4 separate regions of the Mus musculus genome follow, and regions 2, 3 and 4 are each reported to be linked to region 1. The links are microRNA targets in miRTarBase. Many come from high-throughput screens and were not tested one by one. Region 1 holds a microRNA gene; each other region holds the end of a gene's coding sequence.

Region 1 (3,014 bases):
TCACAACCATCTGGAATGGGGTCTGATGCCACCTTCTGGTGTCTATGGAGACAGCTACAGTGTACTTGTCATATAATAAATAAATAAATAAATAAATAAATAGAATCTTTTAAAAAAGAAAAAAGAAACCCATTTTTTTTCAGACTTATATATCAGCTTTATTTTGCAAATTTCAGGTTTGTTTACATTCAGTGCAATCAAAATGTCAGGATTTCAAATATATTTAAAAATATGTAGTTTTAAAAAATTAGACTCCAAGCTGGGCGTGGTGGCGCACGCCTTTGATCCCAGCACTTGGGAGGCAGAGGCAGGCAGATTTCTGAGTTCGAGGCCACCCTGAGTGAGTTCCAGGACAGCCAGGGCTATACAGAGAAACTCTGTCTTGAAAAACCAAAAAAAAAAAAAAAAAATCCACTCCAAATGTGTTCAAAGCAATGACTAGCTAAAGGATTTTACAATCTTACTATAGCACTGATAGACGGCTGTCCACATAGGTCCTGCGGTTTACAGATGGATACCGTGCAATTTTCCTCCTATTACACCAACCAAAATTGCATCGTGTTCCACCTGATAACAGCAAAACAGTTCATTTCATAATTACAGTCTAACATAACTTACAATACTCAGAAACTAAAAGACGATTAAAAACCCTCTTTCTTCCTCAGGCCGGGACAAGTGCAATACTTTATATCTAACACAAGTAATGCCACCAATCCCCACCTGTGGATGAATGGGCATGGATGCTGAAGATGTGCATAAAGGTGTCCATTACGATGCAGAAAGGTACACATTCCCACAATCAGTTTTGCATGGATTTGCACAGCCATATATTCACATATACGCTGAACTGCAAATCTGCAAAACTAATCGTAAGTAGCAATGTCCTTGCGCTGTAGTTGCTTCAACAAGACCTTGGTTGATCCAGGAGTACTAGAAGTGCTCACACTGCAGTAGAGTGGTATAAAAACTACCTGCACTATGAGCACTTTGGCACTACTAGGATCCGAGCTTGTTCTTCTACACAACTGTATACTACAGTCTCCGCCATCTGTTTCTCGGCGAAACACTGAAAGAGCCTTTGAAACTTGTGCCGTTCAAATCATTTCTCAAGATATGCTTTTCAAATGCAAGGTAAGAAGTAGCCTGTGCGAGAAGGGGCATTTAGGGCAGTAGATTGTAAGCTGCTTCACTAACAGCACTAGATGCACCTTAACACAAGAGACACATTACAAGGAGCAGCTCAAAAACATCCACAATCTAACTATGCAGAAACCAGGGGACTCAGCGGCCTCTGATTAAATCACCATGGTAATGTAAGAAGTGCTGGCACTGCAGTAGAACTCAAAAAGCTACCTGCACTGTTAGCACTTTGACATGGCCAAGGCATACTCCAGGAGTGTAACCTTGAAGTCTTCCACGAACTCTTCTTTGCCAGATCTGCAGACTCACCTGGATAAACACACACACACACACACAGCAAGTAAGTGAACTGTGAGTTACTATTTCTAAAACAAGTTTGCCTTCCGTTAAGAGTGCAAATGGGGTTGTGTTACTTCAAACATTAATAAGCTCAATTATTTACACAGACTTAAACATGAATAACACTGGCAATCTCAGAATGTCTGACTCTTAAGAGTAAGAGGATTTTGGACTCCCTCTCCGTCTAAGGAAATTTGAGATTCGCATCCCAGAAAATTTGCAGAGCTGTAATATCCACCATGGTTTTCTAAGAGGCAAGAGCCCAGGAAAAGATGTAAGCAAAAAAATAAATAAATAACATTAGGGTGAGTACTGACGTCTTGAGCTCATCCAGAGCTTTGGGGAGCCACTCGGAAGGTCTCTATGTTTGATTACATGAAGCATCCCTGCCCCCAGCCCATTAAGAGAAAATGATAGAAATTTCAGAGCCGCTTTAAGAAACAGTTTTACACTCTTCACATACCGCACAGATGGCCTAGAGATGTCACATTTTCATCTATTTCAAAGGGCTCTACTTCTGTTTAAACATTTATGGACCCATTTTCTCCATTAAACCTAAAGAAGTCAGATTAGCTCTTTGGCTTCATGTCATTATCTTCCACAGGAAAAACCTCTCTCATTTCCAAGTGTGTATCTTACCCAGGAAAATGCTGCAGAGGACAGTCTGAGGGGTCACGAGCTCCCTCCCTCCCATGATGGAATGTTTGTGTTGATGGGGGGACACCAATAAACTTCAGGGACACAAAACTTGAAATGTGTTCAATGAGAAAGGATATTTTAAATGTTGGAACTTTTCGAAGCCACTTAGTGACTAAGATAGTTCTTAAAACATTTTAAATATAAATTAGCAAAACTTTTGAAGTAAATATGAAATCTGCTTCCTATAGTGCAAGTATTGGCTTATTATACTTTTCTTCTTGAACTGGGTTCCTACAACTAGAGATTTTTGCCTCCACTAAAAATATATTACAAAACCTGACTCAACTTCGCAAAACCATACCTCAGCCCTCCAGAGAAAGCTCCTTCTAGCTAATACCTTTCTTTAACACATCTGCTCTCCATCATATATACTAGAAAGTCGCTGTACAACTTCTAAAATTGCAAAGAGGACCCAGTCTTTTACCATTTCGGGATTTTCTCTGGTCTATTCCCGCATCTTCAGCAGCGGCTCCAGTAGAGATCTGTGAACCTCCTGGGAACGCAGGGTGTGCTCCAGCCAGTCATGCCACGCGCTTAGGTCTTCAAGACACCTTAGCGGCCACCAAAATTAAACAGAAAGAAACAAAGCATTATGGGAAACGGAGTTCTCCATTCAAAGCCCCCAAAACGCGCCAAGCTTAAGCCTCTCCCTCCATTCTCGGGTTGGTGGGAGGGAAACCAAGGTAGGTCGGGAGTCCTCCCGCCCCACACCCCACGTGCACCCTGGCATTTGACCACCCACAAGTTCTCCAGAAACCTTCAGAGCAACAAGGGAGAGTCCTTTTCTCACGAGTTGCCTGGCACCCCTCAACTACACTCAGGTACTTTGCTTTTCT
Region 2 (3,014 bases), not on the chromosome of region 1:
TCCAGGTGGACATTGCCACTTCTGGCATTTTTATATTGTGGGCAGGTCCTCATTGCTTGAACATCTCTTCCTTCCTTTTGAAAAAACTAAAGATTCCCCTCTATGCTGCATTTTACCTATGAGAGGCTTCACTCTGCATAGTTTGAGATCTCACATGTATATTTAAAGTTTAGGCACATTACGGTAGTAACATAGACAGGACAAATAATTTCTGACGTTAAAGAAAACATATTTTAATTGAAGAATGACTTCTAGTTTCCGGGATATACCCCTTCCCCTGTGGTATTTGTACATTTAGTGCACATGGTATTAAGCCAAACATCACAAATGGATGTCAGTTGGCTCTTTGTGAAGTTAAGCTTGTGGTGTGGACCTGAGACACCTCTAGTTGTGTTCAGAATGAGGCATTTTGCTGCTACCCAGTGATAATGAAATGTACACTGAATGCCTTTCTCTCAAAGCTTAATTGTATTCCAGGACCTCAAATGACCTATTTGAAACAAGTAGAAAGGCACTGTAGCCAGGTATGTTTACAAGGAGAATTTGGTACCAGTAAGGCCACAGGTTTTGGATTTTGAAGAGTGAGCTAAGGAACTGAATTGAAGCTTTGATACTTGTTTTTTTGTTGGTATTTGTCCTAAAATTATAAGCTTGAAAACAATAATTCAATTTTTCACTATAGTTCCTATTCTTGCTCCTCCCTTTAAGTATTGTTAAAATTACATAATATCTTTAAATGTTAGGCTCCCAACACAAAGTTCCTTCACATTGGTGGGCTGTTCTAGTGTAAACACGACAGGATCAACTCCTTGAAGCCTAATGTTCTCTAGAAATGCTTTCAGTTTGCAAAGAGTAAAACGTGAAGAGACAGTGTCACCAACTTAACATCATTTGTTATGTTCTTCTGAGAACACCTCAGGAACCTTGGTTGTAGTGGTGTTACATAAACAACCTTGTGCACTATGGTACTAGCTAATCTAAGAAACCTTGAAATACCTTGGTGTGATGAATTGTAGCTAGGTAAGCTGACTTATTCTTCTTTGTGTTTTACAGGCTTTCCTCGGAGACAGGTGGCATGGGGAGCAGCTAGAACAGAGCAGACCCATCCATAATCCTGCTGTTCACCACCCATGATCCATCTGTGTAGTTTCTGAACAGTCAGCGACTCCAGGTTTTAAAATAGTTTGTAAATTTTCAGTTTCTACACACTTTATCATCCACTCATGATTTTTTAATTAAAGTGTTTTAATTCCTTTCTCTGTTCAGCAGTTACGCTGAGATATCCATATTTAGTTTTATAAGCTTCTCCCCCTTTTGTTTTTTGGTTTTTGTTTTTGTTTGGCTCATGAATTTTTGTTTGTCATGGAAATGTAAGAGTGGATTATTAATACATTTCAGTTTAGTTCTGTAATGTCAGGAATTTTTCAAAAAAAAAAATTAAAAGATGGACTGGAGCTTTTTCTTTGTGAATAGAAACTGGATGCCACAGTGACTTACGTGGGTGTTGTTCCTGTCTGATGTTATTTTTATACCTTTTAACTTCCAGAGAGCCCTGATTCAGTTTCAATAGAATTAATGGACTTTCTTCCCTTTTTTACCACTCCAATTTTTTTAATTTGCCCTCAATCACCTCCCCCTCCATGATACTGGGTAGCCTCTGAAAACTTGTTTACGGAGATTGACAATTACACTTACCCTAGGATTGTAGAGCAGCTGGTGCATTTATGGAGCTGGGCAGGAACTCGTGGATAGTAAGGATAGTAAACTTGGGAATGGCTGCCCCTTGTTCTACCTTGCATACTTTAAAGTTCTAGTAATTGTTCATTTAGTTTTCTCCATAGGTGTTTTGAGACCTCCTTGTTCTGAAATCATTTAGAAAAGTTTACCTGCTATCATTTATGTTAACTTAGAAAATAACTTGTCCAAATTCCTCAGATAAAATCTTAAATCCAAGTTGAAACCATGTATTATACCACTCTACTCATTCACCAAGAAAACCCTCGACAGTTGGGCCTGCATGGAGTGGTTATATTTCAAGGTTGTTCACAGGGGTTACAATATGACAGTCCCCACCCCTACCAGGCACCAAGATAACAGTGGGGACTAACAGCACCCCAGTTCTTCAGCCTGAGCCATCACATGCTGTTAGTCGTCTGGCCCAAAGCCAGGGTTTGGGCAGAGAAACAGGAACAAAGAAATGAGTTACATTGCCACCTGAGAAACCTCAGAGGGATGACCCAGCCTTAGTTTCTTTCCCTCCTCCCAAGTGCAAAATGTGTAAACAGTAAACGGAAAATAAAAGTGCAGTTTTAAGTGAATCCTCTACCTGCCCCTCCAGTGTTCAGGGATAGACAGTATAGAGACAAGCCTGGCTTTTCTATTGCCTACTTGCTTGTTCAACATAAGGAATGGGGTGAAGCAAGAAGGGGCCAGCTTCCTTTCTTTATAGCTCTAGGGTAGTACTCGGAGTCATTCATTTCCACAGCTGCCAGTGTCCCCAGAACTTATTCGGTAATTGGTCAGGGGCGTCGTTCACTCTCAAGCCTGGCTTAAGGCTAAGAAAGCCCCATCTATCTGTTGATTATGTGGCGCATATATATTATTTATATAAATATTTCTCTATGTACAAGGAATAAGAGTGTCTTTCATGGAGGAAGGGAGGCTGGGGGCCGCAAGGCATCAATGCTGTTGGAGTTGTCCAATTCAGTGCTGTCACAGTCTGAGTCTTCAGGATTGGGGCCCTGTGAAGAGTAGAAATGCAGTGAGGTGGGGGAGCCTTGGGGACCCTTCTTTTACATTAACAGTGGAGTTTTTTTTTTTTTTTTAAATCTGTTCATAGGTCCAAGGCACTATGCTAGATTCCTTTTAGGATACCTTGATGACTACTGTCATCAAAGCTGCCACACAAATTAAACATCAGGCACTATATGCTCGGAACCATTAATTCTCAACTACTACTTACATGGATATTTGTTTTAATGGTTATGGAATAATGATTTTTAGATTCTCAAATG
Region 3 (3,014 bases), not on the chromosome of region 1:
GAATAAGTTGAGTAGGATCCCCTTCCCGAGAGTGGCACTCCGGCATTCAGTTCAAGATGACCTTCATTATAAACTGTAAGGACAATCCGTAGTAATGGGCTTAGGAATGGCAGGGCCAGAGTCCTTCGGCAAGTCCTGCTAAGGAGAGTCCACACAGCATTCTTCCTGTTTTCTCAGCATGTCAAGTTGAAGCCAGGACTTGAACCTAAACCCTAGTTTACAGAGAACAGCCTTAACCACTCCTCCAGATATGTGTGCATCCGGGGTGTGTTCATCCTTACAACAGAGTGTACCTCCCTCACCGTCACACTGGTTGTGACTCTGCGCAAGTTTGTGAGCCTCATCTTTTCTATCTTGTACTTCCAGAACCAGTTCACTATGTGGCACTGGCTGGGCACCTCGTTTGTCTTCATTGGAACCTTAATGTACACAGAGGTGTGGAAAAACCTCGGGACCACAAAAAGTGAGCTGCAAAAGGATGACAAGAAGGACTGAGGTCTGCCTGGGACAGACAGACAGACGGTGTTATGTGAGAGCGGCCTCTGCTGCAGGTCTGGCCACCATTTCACTTTAGCTGATGCCAAATTACCAGAGTATTGAAGCAGAAAGGCTCCAGAGCTTCCTCCAAAAGGATGGGACTCATCTGCTCTCACGAGTCTGCATTTGTAGATTCCACATAGGCATCCCTGAGATAGAATAAACAAAACAAGCAAGGCTACCAGGCAGACCGTCGGGCAGCCTCTGCATTTGCTTTTCTATTTCTTTGCCAGAACATCAGAACCATATTTGTTGAATTCCAAGTCTCAGAGCTTCTAGTTTTCTACCTGTGTCGCACTTGTTGCTACCGATGCCTTTTTGCTATGTACCTCTTTCCTCCCGTCACCCCTGCACACTTAAGCACTTTGCAGCACAGCCAACATTCCAGGCACAATCAGGCACTGAGTGATCCAGTGGACATGCGAAAAATTAGACCCCAGGAGTGATGAGGCCGGACTCCCTCCAGCGTGTTGGTGTTGGGAGAGAAGCAGTTGTCCCCATGAGCAGATCTGTGAGCTGGATGCCGGTGATGCTGGAGTAGACGGCTGGATCCCACCACGCACATTTCACGTTATTTGATTAGTCAATGCAAAGATCACACACTTCTTTCACCTGTTGCTTTCTGTAGTTAGAGCAGTCCTGCAGCGCTCATTGCACATTAGAAAGGAAGAAAACTTGAAAGTGGATCGAGAAGAGGGAGACCTTTCCTTCCATCTCCCACGTGAAGCCCCTTGGCCTGTTTACGGAGATGGAGAAGGAAGTGTGGCCCAATACAGCTCACTCTTTCAGCACCCTGAGAGACTGTTGCCCCTGTGAACCCAGCCACACACTTCCATGGGACTCCTGTGGGTTTCAAATATGTGTCTGTGAGAGGCGTTAAGACCTGGTAGCCAGAAGATACTTCTGAGAATTGTCACCTGTCAAGTCATCGATGATGATTGATTGATACACAGGCGTGAGTGTGCTCAAACCCCAGCTGCGGCAGGGTGAAGTCTTCTTGTTCCATAGATATGGGACTGCTTTTGGGTGTGCCTGGGAGGTGGCATGACACAGCATGTTTACATACAGAAACAGGCCTGGCTCTTTTCCGCTGATCACTCTGAAGGTCTGATTGTCCTCTCTTGGATCCCCTTGAGGAAGAGTAACCCTGTCACACAGCATGTGGCGCTTGTGTGCCCTTAGCTGGATTGTATGTGATTGAAGAACAAGAACATTGTGTTGCTTTCTTTCCTCGTCCCCACTTAGGGCCAGACCCTCATTACCCTCACCTAGCCATCTGCTCCTCTGCAAACAGCTACACACAATGTTTCTCTCGCACAGACGACAGCCTTCCATTCTTCCACTATGTGCTGACTGTGCTCAGACTGAGGAGTGGCTCTCCATCTCCTCGGCTCACTGTAGCTCTTTGTTGCACCCTCTGAAGATGCTCTTTGATGGGTCTGAACAGCAGCAGCAAAGAGAACTATCCCAATCCTCTGGGTCCCCTGGGAAGGCAAAGAGAACTGTCCTAATCCTCTGGGTCCCCTGGGAAGGCAGTTAAGACTTTTTTCTGTTACATTAAATGCAGATACTGTTTCTCCACCTAAGTCCCCAGGTTTGCAGACTGATTGTCATTCTGGCCATTGACAGCTTCCCAGTGCTGGTAATGGTCTGTTCTCAAAGACCTGAATTAGATGTGAACCCATTCACAGTCCCAGAAGCTCTGTAGCTACTTTGAAATATGTGGGGTTGCCTGGACCAATGTTGCTATAAATACCAAGTGTTAAAAGCCCCCTTAAAAAGACAGTAATAAAAAGTACTTTTTTCTTCCAGTTTAACAGAAGAATCTGTCCCTCGGGGCTCTTGAGGCTCCATTCTGATTACTCCTAACAGGCTATAACCTTCAGTTACCTAGAGCTTCCCTTTTTATGTTGGGAGAAGTAGCACACAGCTTGTAGTTCCCTGAGACTGGCTGATACAATCTAACTGGACCGGTTAGGGTTTCAGAATGTGTATCCCTTTGTGGGTTTTGTTGAAGGAGATGTAAGAACAGATAAGAGTGCGGGCTCTGCTGGCTCAAGCTAGCAAGTGCCCCAGCTGCTTCCTGCCGTGCAGTAGACAGAAGAAAATGTAACCGGCACTAGTTACAGTTTTGTAAAATTGCCCTTCTAAAGGTTCTGTTTTCCTTCTCATTGTGTATGCTTGTTGCACAGGGCCCTGTGGTTGGACACTTCCCTGCAGTTGAGTACTTCCCCCAAGCTCTCCTCTCCCCGTGTTAGGTCCTGCTGTTCCCCTGAACAGTTTTGCCTTCTACCTTCAGATCGCATACACACCGTGGTTTCATGTCTCTCTACAAAGCTCAGGAGCTACAAATAAGAGCACACATATGCTGTTTGTCCTCCCTACACCAGCTAACCCCTTAATAGGACCATCTCTGGATACATCCATAAAATCACTCTTTATAAAAGTCATTTCTCTTTGCCATTTGTTTGTTTGTT
Region 4 (3,014 bases), not on the chromosome of region 1:
CTGCCATGGCAGAGGGGCAACACTGGCTCCTCGTTCTCATTGTTCCCACACGAGTCATGAGGGTCCTCGCTGCCATGGCAGAGGGCAACACTGGCTCCTCGAGCATGAGGAAGGTGTTCAACCCTGAACTGGAAAAACGGTTTGGTATAAAATCACATAGGTTATGGTATGGAATGTCATTTTTATTTTAAATAAATGAAAAACACCAGCAAGTAAAACCATTTCCTTACACTTAATGCTCTTCTGCATTAAAAAAAAAATCCCTTAAGAAGTGCTTGTGTGGCTTTTTGTTTGTTTGTTTGTTTTTTTTCGAGACAGGGTTTCTCTGGCTGTCCTCAAACTTAGAAATCCACCTGCCTCTGCCTCCCAAGTGCTGGGATTAAAGGTGTGACCACCACGCCCGCTGTATTTTTTCTTTTTTAAACACAGTATAGTCTAATACATTAGTCTTGAACTCAAGCATTTGAATATGACCTTGGATTCCTGATTCTTCTGTCTGCCTGGACTTCAGGCATGATCTGCCAGAGCCACCCACTACCCTGTTCTTGACGACATCTTACTGGATCCTTGTGCACTGAATTGAGCTCACCTGCCCTCCAACAAGCCAAGGAAGATGTCAAGAGCAGCCCACCCTGAGGACAACACTTCAGCCTACTCACGCTCACAGGAAAGCAGCACGCTGGCGAGACATGACGTTCATCTACAGATGGTCTCACTCATACAAACAACCCGCTGAGTAGAAGTCAGCTGTTTGAAGAGTCCCTTACAAAGAGTCTTTACTAAAAAACTAACAAACTAGCAGGAGTGCTACTTAATGCAGTCCTAAATGCTGCAGAAGGATTGATCTGTTTTTTAAAAAAGATTTATTCAACACACACACACACACACACACACACACACACACACACACACACACACACACACACACACACACACACACACGAGGGAATTGAATCCATTACAGATGGATGTGAGCCACCGTGTGGTTGCTGGGAACTGAACTTAGAAAACTGTTTAGGAAAAATAGCCAAGTGCTCTTAACCGCTGTGCCACCCCTCCAGCCCCTTTATCTGTCTTGATAAAGGTTGTTAATAACTGCAGCCTGAGTGCTGCAGTGGACCAGACACTACAGTTTGACACATAGATGCCTTCCTTCTTCAAGCCTTCAGGAATATGAAGCATACTCACATTTCTTACACACTAACACAGGCCACACTCATGAAGATCACAACTGTGAAGACTCGAGTTACCCACCTGCTTGCTGCCGTTCCTCTCGAGAGAAAACACAGAGTCATTTCAGGTAACTTCCATTTAATTTAACATTTATTTTCATTTATAACGAGATGTCACATTTTCTACATTAAAATATAATCATGCTGACCCCCCCACTACCCCCTCAGAGAAAAACAACTGGAAGGTGGAATGCACAGAGTGGGGAGTCATGGCTGCACCTGAGAACACACAGCGCAGAGACCCAAACAGCAGACATGGTAGAGGCACACAGAATACAGCCAAGAGCTCAAGCCAGGAAGGGACAGGAATGAAAGAAACATTGCTACATGTGCCACAAGATCACCCAGAAAAGGTAGAGCGGACTCAGAAAGCCTGGGGATTGAACAGAGTTTAAAGCAAGTCGTCTCACGGCCCACCTCAGGATCTGGAGGGCAACGCAGAAACCGAAACCACCAGAAACGCGTCAAGAGGAGGGTGGGATGTAGGGTTTTTCTTAATTGTACCCAAGCCTTTTCCAAGTCTCAATTCTCCTGTGACTGTAGCCCAGTGGGGGTCGTCAGCACAAGGCGTGCCACCACTGCAGGAGAACGCAGGCTGTGCAATGTTACCTGATTCTCTGTGGGCCTCAGAGAAAGTCGCCACGCAGGAATTCCCAACTCACAGCACTGGCAGAACGAAACTCTTTTCGTAAGAAAACACAGCAGACAGTAAAACCCATCTGCACAGAGCAGAGGACAGACCCACAGGTACACTAGCACTCCAGAGGGAGGCTCAGCCAGAGCCTCGTGGTTCTTCTGAAAGGAGAATTCTTCCAGTCTCCACTTTGCCCCTAAATTTGAGACTGAAGCATTTTAGCTTCAGAACAGTGATACTCTTAAGGGAGTTGAGAGGTAGGGTTTGGGAGACCCAAACAAGACATTATTAGCAACTAGCTCTCCACTATCTGTACAAATAGATACATCAGTAAGCAAACTTCACCCCTCAGCTTCTTTAAAGAAAGCACTAAAGGTGAGGTTTCTGAGCAGGGATCTCTCAATCTGTTAGCAGTTTAAACTGTCAACACTGGCACAATAGTTACCTAGCCTTTGTTTTTAATTACAGGGTAACAGGTAAACTCCCACTCACAGGTGGGATGGAGGAGTGCAAAAGGAATCAGGAAACAGAACCAGTACTTCACAAGAGGGTCACGCCACACAAGCAGCAGCAGCTACTAGTGTTTTGCAGAGTCTCGAGGGTAAAATTCGCTCAGGGTGCTCTGAGGGATTCTCTTCAGCATTTCTTTGGGGAAGATTCGAAGCAACTGCCAGCCAATGTCCAAAGTCTCATAAACAGTTCGGTTTTCATAGGGACCTAGAATATTAATACTGAATTAACCACAGGGCACTGCCAACTGACCCGTGTCACTCAGCACTCTGTGGTCTAGCAAGCAGGGTAGGCATAAAATACAGGAAGGAAAACAGGGGTGAGGATTTGAGATGCAGAAATGAGGGTACAAAGTAACACAGAGATCAGGGGTGAAGAGAGGCCCACGGGGCAGTGCTGGTGGACATGAGGGATGAGATGGACAGAGACAGATAAGGTCCTTAAACAATGCAAACTAGACCAGCATTCTGTTCAAAGGTCGGCACAAAGTAAACTGTAGGACTCAGGAAAAAAGCTAGGCTTGCAAGAATCCATGGAGATTCTGAGGAAGCCTTAAATGCCAAAAAGCAGACTATATTACAGGCCAATGGTTTCAAAACTTAAATTTAAGACAGGGTTTTATTGAGTGGCCCAGGCTA

Evidence for each region. The annotated mature microRNA mmu-miR-19b-3p reads UGUGCAAAUCCAUGCAAAACUGA and lies in region 1 at 800-822, opposite strand. An mRNA with a match to its seed (bases 2 to 7 or 8) in the 3' UTR can be bound and repressed. Matches are read on the target gene's strand: a 7mer-m8 pairs with bases 2 to 8, a 7mer-A1 pairs with bases 2 to 7 and ends in A, and an 8mer does both.
Region 2: miRTarBase lists Map3k12 as a target of mmu-miR-19b-3p. Seed matches in the 3' UTR shown: 7mer-m8 at 2,267-2,273.
Region 3: the mRNA of Slc35b4 is a reported target of mmu-miR-19b-3p. Seed matches in the 3' UTR shown: 7mer-A1 at 1,189-1,195 and 7mer-A1 at 2,722-2,728.
Region 4: the mRNA of Atp6v1b2 is a reported target of mmu-miR-19b-3p. Seed matches in the 3' UTR shown: 7mer-m8 at 2,374-2,380 and 7mer-A1 at 1,829-1,835.

What each region holds. Positions count from the first base shown.
Region 1 is chrX:52,741,192-52,744,205 of GRCm38, forward strand. Mir19b-2 (microRNA 19b-2) reads right to left here and starts at 875; the gene lies at 792-875. Mir363 (microRNA 363) reads right to left here and starts at 576; the gene lies at 502-576. It overlaps Mir92-2 (microRNA 92-2), which reads right to left and starts at 737; the gene lies at 647-737. It overlaps Mir20b (microRNA 20b), which reads right to left and starts at 1,001; the gene lies at 922-1,001. It also overlaps Mir18b, Mir106a and Kis2.
Region 2 is chr15:102,497,436-102,500,449 of GRCm38, forward strand. It overlaps Map3k12 (mitogen-activated protein kinase kinase kinase 12), which reads right to left. Exons shown (of 16, transcript NM_001163643.1): 16 at 212-2,741. The coding sequence ends at 2,646. Pcbp2 (poly(rC) binding protein 2) reads left to right here. Exons shown (of 15, transcript NM_001103165.1): 15 at 1,054-2,624. The coding sequence ends at 1,090. Among named protein-coding and RNA genes, the nearest start is that of Map3k12, 18 kb to the right of the region's middle.
Region 3 is chr6:34,155,861-34,158,874 of GRCm38, reverse strand. It overlaps Slc35b4 (solute carrier family 35, member B4), which reads left to right. Exons shown (of 10, transcript NM_021435.3): 10 at 249-2,996. The coding sequence ends at 495. Among named protein-coding and RNA genes, the nearest start is that of Gm13855, 20 kb to the left of the region's middle.
Region 4 is chr8:69,111,999-69,115,012 of GRCm38, reverse strand. Atp6v1b2 (ATPase, H+ transporting, lysosomal V1 subunit B2) reads right to left here. Exons shown (of 14, transcript NM_007509.3): 14 at 1,295-2,583. The coding sequence ends at 2,444. Among named protein-coding and RNA genes, the nearest start is that of Slc18a1, 24 kb to the right of the region's middle.